2 linked regions of the Saccharomyces cerevisiae S288C genome follow. The protein of the gene in region 1 binds, or shares a complex with, the protein of each later gene. Each region holds a gene or a part of one and is shown on either strand. Other genes may lie near its edges. A codon is read from its position in the direction of its gene.

Region 1 (4,448 bases):
TGTGGAACTGTTGATAGAAAATGGTGCAGATGTAAATATCAAGTCTATTGAAATGTTCGGCGATACTCCCTTGATCGATGCTTCCGCCAATGGACACTTGGATGTTGTCAAGTATCTTCTTAAAAACGGTGCGGACCCAACTATACGTAACGCTAAAGGGTTAACTGCGTTTGAATCTGTCGATGATGAATCTGAATTTGATGATGAAGAAGACCAAAAGATTTTGCGTGAAATAAAAAAAAGGTTGAGTATAGCCGCTAAAAAATGGACTAACAGAGCAGGAATTCATAATGACAAATCTAAAAATGGCAATAATGCTCACACAATAGATCAGCCACCTTTTGATAATACCACAAAAGCCAAAAACGAAAAGGCCGCTGACTCACCTTCAATGGCTTCCAATATTGATGAGAAAGCTCCGGAAGAGGAATTCTATTGGACAGATGTTACTTCTAGAGCGGGAAAAGAAAAACTGTTTAAAGCTTCGAAGGAGGGACATTTACCATACGTTGGTACGTATGTAGAAAATGGTGGTAAGATAGACTTAAGGTCATTTTTCGAAAGCGTTAAGTGTGGCCATGAAGATATTACAAGTATCTTTTTGGCATTCGGATTTCCCGTAAATCAAACTTCAAGGGATAATAAAACATCCGCTTTAATGGTAGCTGTAGGTCGTGGCCATCTTGGAACTGTTAAACTGCTATTAGAGGCAGGTGCAGATCCAACCAAAAGAGATAAAAAGGGTCGTACCGCTTTGTACTATGCCAAAAACAGCATAATGGGAATAACAAACAGTGAAGAAATTCAATTGATTGAAAATGCTATAAATAACTATTTGAAGAAGCACTCTGAAGATAATAATGATGATGATGATGATGATGATAATAATAATGAAACATATAAACATGAAAAAAAGAGAGAGAAAACGCAATCACCCATATTAGCAAGCCGAAGAAGTGCCACTCCTAGAATTGAAGACGAAGAGGACGATACGAGGATGCTCAATCTGGCAGACGATGACTTTAATAACGATCGTGATGTCAAGGAATCTACAACTTCGGATTCGCGCAAGAGATTGGATGACAATGAAAATGTTGGTACTCAATACTCATTGGACTGGAAAAAACGTAAAACAAATGCCTTGCAAGATGAAGAAAAATTAAAAAGTATCTCACCACTCTCTATGGAACCTCATTCTCCAAAGAAGGCAAAATCTGTAGAGATAAGTAAAATACATGAAGAAACGGCTGCTGAAAGAGAAGCAAGACTCAAGGAAGAGGAAGAATACAGAAAGAAAAGATTAGAAAAGAAAAGAAAAAAAGAACAGGAACTACTACAAAAGCTGGCCGAAGATGAGAAAAAAAGGATCGAAGAACAGGAGAAGCAGAAAGTCTTAGAAATGGAAAGATTGGAAAAAGCTACTTTAGAGAAAGCAAGAAAAATGGAAAGGGAAAAAGAAATGGAAGAAATCTCTTATAGAAGGGCAGTAAGGGACTTATATCCGTTAGGACTGAAGATTATTAACTTCAACGATAAACTTGATTACAAAAGATTTTTGCCGCTATATTATTTTGTAGACGAAAAAAACGATAAATTTGTGCTCGACTTGCAAGTAATGATATTGTTGAAGGATATCGACTTGCTCTCAAAGGACAACCAACCAACTTCTGAGAAGATTCCCGTCGATCCCTCGCACCTGACTCCATTGTGGAATATGTTGAAATTCATTTTCCTGTATGGAGGTAGTTATGATGATAAAAAGAACAACATGGAAAATAAAAGATATGTTGTAAACTTTGATGGGGTTGATTTGGACACAAAGATTGGGTATGAGCTTTTGGAGTACAAAAAATTTGTTAGTTTGCCCATGGCGTGGATTAAATGGGATAACGTTGTTATTGAAAACCACGCAAAAAGAAAAGAAATTGAAGGAAATATGATTCAAATATCAATAAACGAATTTGCACGATGGAGAAACGATAAGCTGAACAAAGCGCAGCAGCCGACGCGCAAACAGCGTTCTCTAAAAATACCTCGAGAGTTACCGGTTAAATTTCAACACCGTATGAGCATATCCTCCGTCCTCCAGCAGACATCCAAAGAACCATTTTGGTAAAACAATTCATCGGTCCGTTGGCATATGCTCATACATAGTTGCATTTTCGATTCATTAAATACTATTCATGTTAACATAATTCCATATAATCGTACTGTTTTGTCATTATTATATCGGCATGACACTCACCAATTTCTTTTTTTGATTTTGTATTGTTCGATAAGGCAACGAACGAGTACTCGAAAAAATGTCATGGACCCCTTAAAATTACTGAGGGGTTCAGAAAATACCGTGCAAAAGACGAAAAAAGACGAATTTCATTTGATTTATATTTTATAAATGACTGTTGCATTAAACAATAGACCAATTATTTCAATTTAATATTCTTTGCAGGAAACTTTCACAATGGAATAACGCCACATATTCATTGTAAAGAGCATGTATAACAAACACTGATTTTTGTTTTGAGTTTTAAAAGATATCCATTTACTAACATTCGAGGTGTACAAGCACAAGTTTTGCAGTGTTGCGTACTTCTCTTACTAAAGGGGCACGGCTAACTGGGACAAGATTTGTTCAAACAAAGGCCCTTTCGAAGGCAACATTGACAGATCTGCCCGAAAGATGGGAAAATATGCCAAACTTAGAACAGAAAGAGATTGCAGATAATTTGACAGAACGTCAAAAGCTTCCATGGAAAACTCTCAATAACGAGGAAATCAAAGCAGCTTGGTACATATCCTACGGCGAGTGGGGACCTAGAAGACCTGTACACGGAAAAGGCGATGTTGCATTTATAACTAAAGGAGTATTTTTAGGGTTAGGAATCTCATTTGGGCTCTTTGGTTTAGTGAGACTATTAGCCAATCCTGAAACTCCAAAGACTATGAACAGGGAATGGCAGTTGAAATCAGACGAGTATCTGAAGTCAAAAAATGCCAATCCTTGGGGAGGTTATTCTCAAGTTCAATCTAAATAAGTAGACGAGGAAAATAAAATTGTTTCGTATATTCCGTGTTTGGGGTATAAGTAGATTGTTTTCATATATACGCATTTGGTCTTAGTTCAGTAGGTTGATTACTTAGTTCCTTGTACCTTCTTCTGCAAATATCATTCATTGTTACTTCGAAGAAGAAAAAAAATAATCATGGAAAATTGGAAAAAAAAAAAGTCCAATCTAAAAAATAAAAATGTTCAAGTCATCGATTCTATGGGGAGGAAAAGGACAATCAGAACCGAAGTGTTGTGTAGCTAAAATATGTCATTTTCCTTCGGCTTTACTTCCAATGACTTTGATGATGATGAGCTTGTTGCTCAACCTGAAACATTCGTTGAAAGCAGCAAAGAAAACGAAAATACCACTGCTTACATCAATCCATTAGATTCGGATTTCTTGTCGCAAGCTGGAGTTGTGCAGCCAAATGTGGAAGACCTAGGAACAATATTGGAAAGTCTTAAGGATGTTAGATTGACATTTGAAGAGTTCCAATCTCCGATATATAGAAAACCATTGATCAAGAGGGAACTATTCGATGTCAAACATCAGCTAATGTTAGAGACAGATGCCCAATCCAACAACAACTCCACGGAACTGGACATTTTACTAGGTGATACTTCTGAAGATTTGAGAAAGAACATCTATGAAGGTGGGTTGAAATCATGGGAGTGCTCTTATGATTTAGTTGATTTGTTGTCAGAGAACGTTGATAGAATAAGCAACGATATCGACGCGGTTGTCGAAATAGGCTGTGGTACGGCACTACCCTCAGAGTTTCTTTTCAGATCTGCTCTTCTACGGAATGATAGAAGTAAAGGTTTAAAGTTTGTTTTGACTGACTATAATGCCAGTGTATTAAGATTAGTTACCATACCGAATTTGGTTATAACATGGGCTAAAACGGTTTTGACAAAGGAACAATGGTACGCCTTACAGAAAGACGAATGTGAAGATATTCCAATAAATAATGAGGAACTGCTTCTTACCTCAAAGCTGTTAGCTGCCTTTTACGACGATGTACAAAGCAGGAATATCAGCGTCACTCTTATATCAGGATCGTGGGGACGTAAATTTAGTAATTTGATCCATGAAGTACTCTCAGGTAGCCAAAAAGTCCTTTCATTATCCTCAGAAACAATTTATCAACCTGACAATTTGCCCGTTATAGCGGAAACAATACTTGACATACACAATTTACCACAAACCGATGTCAAAACTTACGTAGCCGCAAAGGATATTTATTTTGGAGTCGGTGGTAGCATCACTGAATTTGAAGCTTATTTGGACGACAAAATAAACTCCGAACATCTACCAATTCATTCTGAAAGGTTTAAAGTTAACTCTGGCTTAAAAAGGTCGATTATATGCATTGAAACAAATAAAGCTATCCGATAG
Region 2 (5,568 bases), on another chromosome or scaffold:
ATTATAAATATATATTTATTTTTTTTTATAAAATAAATAAATAAATAAATAATTAATATTTTTATATTATAACTTATTTTTATAATAATAATAAGTATTTTATTTTTTATTATATTATTATTTATATAATTATATATATATTAATTTCAATTTAATTAATTAATTAATTGGTATTTGGCATATAATATCAATTAATTGTAATTCTTATAAGAATTAATTAATTAATATGCTTTTTATATAATTTATACTTTTATATTTCTCCTTCCGGGGTTCCGGCTCCCGTGGCCGGGCCCCGGAACTATTATTATTATTTTTATTTATTTATTATTAAAATATAATAATAAATAGTCCGGCCCGCCCCGCGGGGCGGACGCCGGAGGAGAATTATATTTTTATATAATAATTTATATTTCTATATATATATATATATATTATATATAAATATTATTATATATATTTTTATATATATTATAATTATATTCATTAATATTTTATTATAGTGGTGGGGTCCCAATTATTATTTTCAATAATAATTTATCATGGGACCCGGATATCTTCTTGTTTTTATTTATTATTTTATTAAATTTATTTTAATTATTTATTTATAATTTATATTATACAATTTATTATTTCGTTAATACCTTTATTTATATTATATAATATATTATATTATTATAATATATTTATTGATTATATTAATACATTTAACTAATGTGTGCTCTATATTTATTGAATAGTTTGGTTCTTATCACCCACCCCCTCCCCCTATTACGTCTCCGAGGTCCCGGTTTCGTAAGAAACCGGGACTTATATATTTAATACTAAAAATATAACTACATTACTTTTTTAATATATATAACAATATATATATATATATATATTAATTATATAAAATATAATACTCTATATTAAATATTATTTTTATCAATATTTATTTATATATATAATAATAATAATAATAATCAATATTAATTATTTATATATATAAGATTAATATTATTTAATATATTATGAATAATTTAATTAATAAATCTTTAAATATTATCATAAAAATATAAATTAAATAATTTCTTATTTATAATAAAGAATAATAATATATATAAATATAATAAAGAATGTAAATAATATATATATAATATAATATAATATAAAAAATATATATATATATAAATATATATATAATATATAGATAATAATATTTTTATATAATTTATTTTATTATTAAGTAATAAATAATAAAAAAATCAATATATTAAATAATATATTTATATTAGTTCGGTTTAGTTGGTATTTTGTAATGAGTAAAAAGTAATATATAATATTAAATAATAAGTATTGATATAAGTAATAGATATAATAATAATATTATTAATATTTTATATAAATAATATTAATAATATAGATTATGAAAGAGAGTATTAATATCATTAAATATATATATATGTTATATAATTTAAATGATTTTAATATATATATATATATTATATTATAGATTATGATACATTTATATAAATAATATATATATAAAAATTAATTATACTATTACTTTATAATATAATAATATTTATTTATAAAGATATAAAAGAATTGTTTAAAGTTATAACTAAAATATTATATAGTATTCATTAATAATTAATATTATAAATTCAACTATTGTTATATTTATAAATAGAATAATATATTATTATCCTTTAAGATATAACAATAATTATTTAAATTAAATTAAATTAAATTTAATTAATTTTTTTTTTTAATGAATATAATAATAATAATATTATTAAAATTAATATATAAAAAAAAAGTAAAAATGGTACAAAGATGATTATATTCAACAAATGCAAAAGATATTGCAGTATTATATTTTATGTTAGCTATTTTTAGTGGTATGGCAGGAACAGCAATGTCTTTAATCATTAGATTAGAATTAGCTGCACCTGGTTCACAATATTTACATGGTAATTCACAATTATTTAATGGTGCGCCTCTCAGTGCGTATATTTCGTTGATGCGTCTAGCATTAGTATTATGAATCATCAATAGATACTTAAAACATATGACTAACTCAGTAGGGGCTAACTTTACGGGGACAATAGCATGTCATAAAACACCTATGATTAGTGTAGGTGGAGTTAAGTGTTACATGGTTAGGTTAACGAACTTCTTACAAGTCTTTATCAGGATTACAATTTCCTCTTATCATTTGGATATAGTAAAACAAGTTTGATTATTTTACGTTGAGGTAATCAGATTATGATTCATTGTTTTAGATAGCACAGGCAGTGTGAAAAAGATGAAGGACCTAAATAACACAAAAGGAAATACGAAAAGTGAGGGATCAACTGAAAGAGGAAACTCTGGAGTTGACAGAGGTATAGTAGTACCGAATACTCAAATAAAAATGAGATTTTTAAATCAAGTTAGATACTATTCAGTAAATAATAATTTAAAAATAGGGAAGGATACCAATATTGAGTTATCAAAAGATACAAGTACTTCGGACTTGTTAGAATTTGAGAAATTAGTAATAGATAATATAAATGAGGAAAATATAAATAATAATTTATTAAGTATTATAAAAAACGTAGATATATTAATATTAGCATATAATAGAATTAAGAGTAAACCTGGTAATATAACTCCAGGTACAACATTAGAAACATTAGATGGTATAAATATAATATATTTAAATAAATTATCAAATGAATTAGGAACAGGTAAATTCAAATTTAAACCCATGAGAATAGTTAATATTCCTAAACCTAAAGGTGGTATAAGACCTTTAAGTGTAGGTAATCCAAGAGATAAAATTGTACAAGAAGTTATAAGAATAATTTTAGATACAATTTTTGATAAAAAGATATCAACACATTCACATGGTTTTAGAAAGAATATAAGTTGTCAAACAGCAATTTGAGAAGTTAGAAATATATTTGGTGGAAGTAATTGATTTATTGAAGTAGACTTAAAAAAATGTTTTGATACAATTTCTCATGATTTAATTATTAAAGAATTAAAAAGATATATTTCAGATAAAGGTTTTATTGATTTAGTATATAAATTATTAAGAGCTGGTTATATTGATGAGAAAGGAACTTATCATAAACCTATATTAGGTTTACCTCAAGGATCATTAATTAGTCCTATCTTATGTAATATTGTAATAACATTGGTAGATAATTGATTAGAAGATTATATTAATTTATATAATAAAGGTAAAGTTAAAAAACAACATCCTACATATAAAAAATTATCAAGAATAATTGCAAAAGCTAAAATATTTTCGACAAGATTAAAATTACATAAAGAAAGAGCTAAAGGCCCACTATTTATTTATAATGATCCTAATTTCAAGAGAATAAAATACGTTAGATATGCAGATGATATTTTAATTGGGGTATTAGGTTCAAAAAATGATTGTAAAATAATCAAAAGAGATTTAAACAATTTTTTAAATTCATTAGGTTTAACTATAAATGAAGAAAAAACTTTAATTACTTGTGCAACTGAACTACCAGCAAGATTTTTAGGTTATAATATTTCAATTACACCTTTAAAAAGAATACCTACAGTTACTAAACTAATTAGAGGTAAACTTATTAGAAGTAGAAATACAACTAGACCTATTATTAATGCACCAATTAGAGATATTATCAATAAATTAGCTACTAATGGATATTGTAAGCATAATAAAAATGGTAGAATAGGAGTGCCTACAAGAGTAGGTAGATGACTATATGAAGAACCTAGAACAATTATTAATAATTATAAAGCGTTAGGTAGAGGTATCTTAAATTATTATAAATTAGCTACTAATTATAAAAGATTAAGAGAAAGAATCTATTACGTATTATATTATTCATGTGTATTAACTTTAGCTAGTAAATATAGATTAAAAACAATAAGTAAAACTATTAAAAAATTTGGTTATAATTTAAATATTATTGAAAATGATAAATTAATTGCCAATTTTCCAAGAAATACTTTTGATAATATCAAAAAAATTGAAAATCATGGTATATTTATATATATATCAGAAGCTAAAGTAACTGATCCTTTTGAATATATCGATTCAATTAAATATATATTACCTACAGCTAAAGCTAATTTTAATAAACCTTGTAGTATTTGTAATTCAACTATTGATGTAGAAATACATCATGTTAAACAATTACATAGAGGTATATTAAAAGCACTTAAAGATTATATTCTAGGTAGAATAATTACCATAAACAGAAAACAAATTCCATTATGTAAACAATGTCATATTAAAACACATAAAAATAAATTTAAAAATATAGGACCTGGTATATAAAATCTATTATTAATGATACTCAATATGGAAAGCCGTATGATGGGAAACTATCACGTACGGTTTGGGAAAGGCTCTTTAACACGTGGCAACATAGGTTAATTTGCTATTTCATTTTTAGTAGTTGGTCATGCTGTATTAATGATTTTCTGTGCGCCGTTTCGCTTAATTTATCACTGTATTGAAGTGTTAATTGATAAACATATCTCTGTTTATTCAATTAATGAAAACTTTACCGTATCATTTTGGTTCTGATTATTAGTAGTAACATACATAGTATTTAGATACGTAAACCATATGGCTTACCCAGTTGGGGCCAACTCAACGGGGACAATAGCATGCCATAAAAGCGCTGGAGTAAAACAGCCAGCGCAAGGTAAGAACTGTCCGATGGCTAGGTTAACGAATTCCTGTAAAGAATGTTTAGGGTTCTCATTAACTCCTTCCCACTTGGGGATTGTGATTCATGCTTATGTATTGGAAGAAGAGGTACACGAGTTAACCAAAAATGAATCATTAGCTTTAAGTAAAAGTTGACATTTGGAGGGCTGTACGAGTTCAAATGGAAAATTAAGAAATACGGGATTGTCCGAAAGGGGAAACCCTGGGGATAACGGAGTCTTCATAGTACCCAAATTTAATTTAAATAAAGTGAGATACTTTAGTACTTTATCTAAATTAAATGCAAGGAAGGAAGACAGTTTAGCGTATTTAACAAAGATTAATACTACGGATTTTTCCGAGTTAAATAAATTAATAGAAAATAATCATAATAAACTTGAAACCATTAATACTAGAATTTTAAAATTAATGTCAGATATTAGAATGTTATTAATTGCTTATAATAAAATTAAAAGTAAGAAAGGTAATATATCTAAAGGTTCTAATAATATTACCTTAGATGGGATTAATATTTCATATTTAAATAAATTATCTAAAGATATTAACACTAATATGTTTAAATTTTCTCCGGTTAGAAGAGTTGAAATTCCTAAAACATCTGGAGGATTTAGACCTTTAAGTGTTGGAAATCCTAGAGAAAAAATTGTACAAGAAAGTATGAGAATAATATTAGAAATTATCTATAATAATAGTTTCTCTTATTATTCTCATGGATTTAGACCTAACTTATCTTGTTTAACAGCTATTATTCAATGTAAAAATTATATGCAATACTGTAATTGATTTATTAAAGTAGATTTAAATAAATGCTTTGATACAATTCCACATAATATGTTAATTAATGTATTAAATGAGAG

What was found.
Region 2: the proteins of COX5B (region 1) and COX1 are in contact, whole or in part, in a cryo-EM structure (PDB 6T0B), measured with the Saccharomyces cerevisiae proteins. Residues at the interface, in NP_012155.1 of Saccharomyces cerevisiae: Ile72 (codon at 2,793), Ser73 (codon at 2,796), Tyr74 (codon at 2,799), Gly75 (codon at 2,802), Trp77 (codon at 2,808), Pro79 (codon at 2,814), Arg80 (codon at 2,817), Arg81 (codon at 2,820), Val83 (codon at 2,826), His84 (codon at 2,829), Asp88 (codon at 2,841), Phe91 (codon at 2,850), Ile92 (codon at 2,853), Gly95 (codon at 2,862), Val96 (codon at 2,865), Gly99 (codon at 2,874), Leu100 (codon at 2,877), Ile102 (codon at 2,883), Ser103 (codon at 2,886), Phe104 (codon at 2,889), Leu106 (codon at 2,895), Phe107 (codon at 2,898), Val110 (codon at 2,907), Arg111 (codon at 2,910), Leu113 (codon at 2,916), Ala114 (codon at 2,919), Asn115 (codon at 2,922), Pro119 (codon at 2,934), Thr121 (codon at 2,940), Met122 (codon at 2,943); in NP_009305.1 of Saccharomyces cerevisiae: Leu38 (codon at 1,919), Ala41 (codon at 1,928), Ala42 (codon at 1,931), Pro43 (codon at 1,934), Gly44 (codon at 1,937), Ser45 (codon at 1,940), Gln46 (codon at 1,943), Tyr47 (codon at 1,946), Arg333, Leu334, Ala335, Glu407, Lys408, Gln411, Ile412, Trp415, Leu416, Ile419, Asp445, Ala446, Ala448, Gly449, Tyr452, Ser455, Ile456, Phe459, Ile460, Leu463, Asn486, Val489.

The regions. Positions count from the first base shown.
Region 1 is NC_001141.2:152,731-157,178, forward strand, and holds COX5B (cytochrome c oxidase subunit Vb), read left to right. Parts: upstream 1-2,491; coding exon 2,492-2,492; intron 2,493-2,580; coding exon 2,581-3,035; downstream 3,036-4,448. Other genes in the region: HOS4 (Hos4p), read left to right, coding at 1-2,116; HPM1 (protein-histidine N-methyltransferase), read left to right, coding at 3,315-4,448. UniProt on the Saccharomyces cerevisiae protein: Component of the cytochrome c oxidase, the last enzyme in the mitochondrial electron transport chain which drives oxidative phosphorylation.
Region 2 is NC_001224.1:12,011-17,578, forward strand, and holds the start of COX1 (cytochrome c oxidase subunit 1), read left to right. Parts: upstream 1-1,807; coding exon 1,808-1,976; coding exon of another isoform or gene 1,977-4,312; intron 4,313-4,424; coding exon 4,425-4,460; coding exon of another isoform or gene 4,461-5,568. Other genes in the region: intron-encoded reverse transcriptase aI2, read left to right, coding at 1,808-1,976, 4,425-5,568; AI5_ALPHA (intron-encoded DNA endonuclease aI5 alpha), read left to right, coding at 1,808-1,976, 4,425-4,460; intron-encoded DNA endonuclease aI4, read left to right, coding at 1,808-1,976, 4,425-4,460; intron-encoded DNA endonuclease aI3, read left to right, coding at 1,808-1,976, 4,425-4,460; intron-encoded reverse transcriptase aI1, read left to right, coding at 1,808-4,312. UniProt on the Saccharomyces cerevisiae protein: Component of the cytochrome c oxidase, the last enzyme in the mitochondrial electron transport chain which drives oxidative phosphorylation.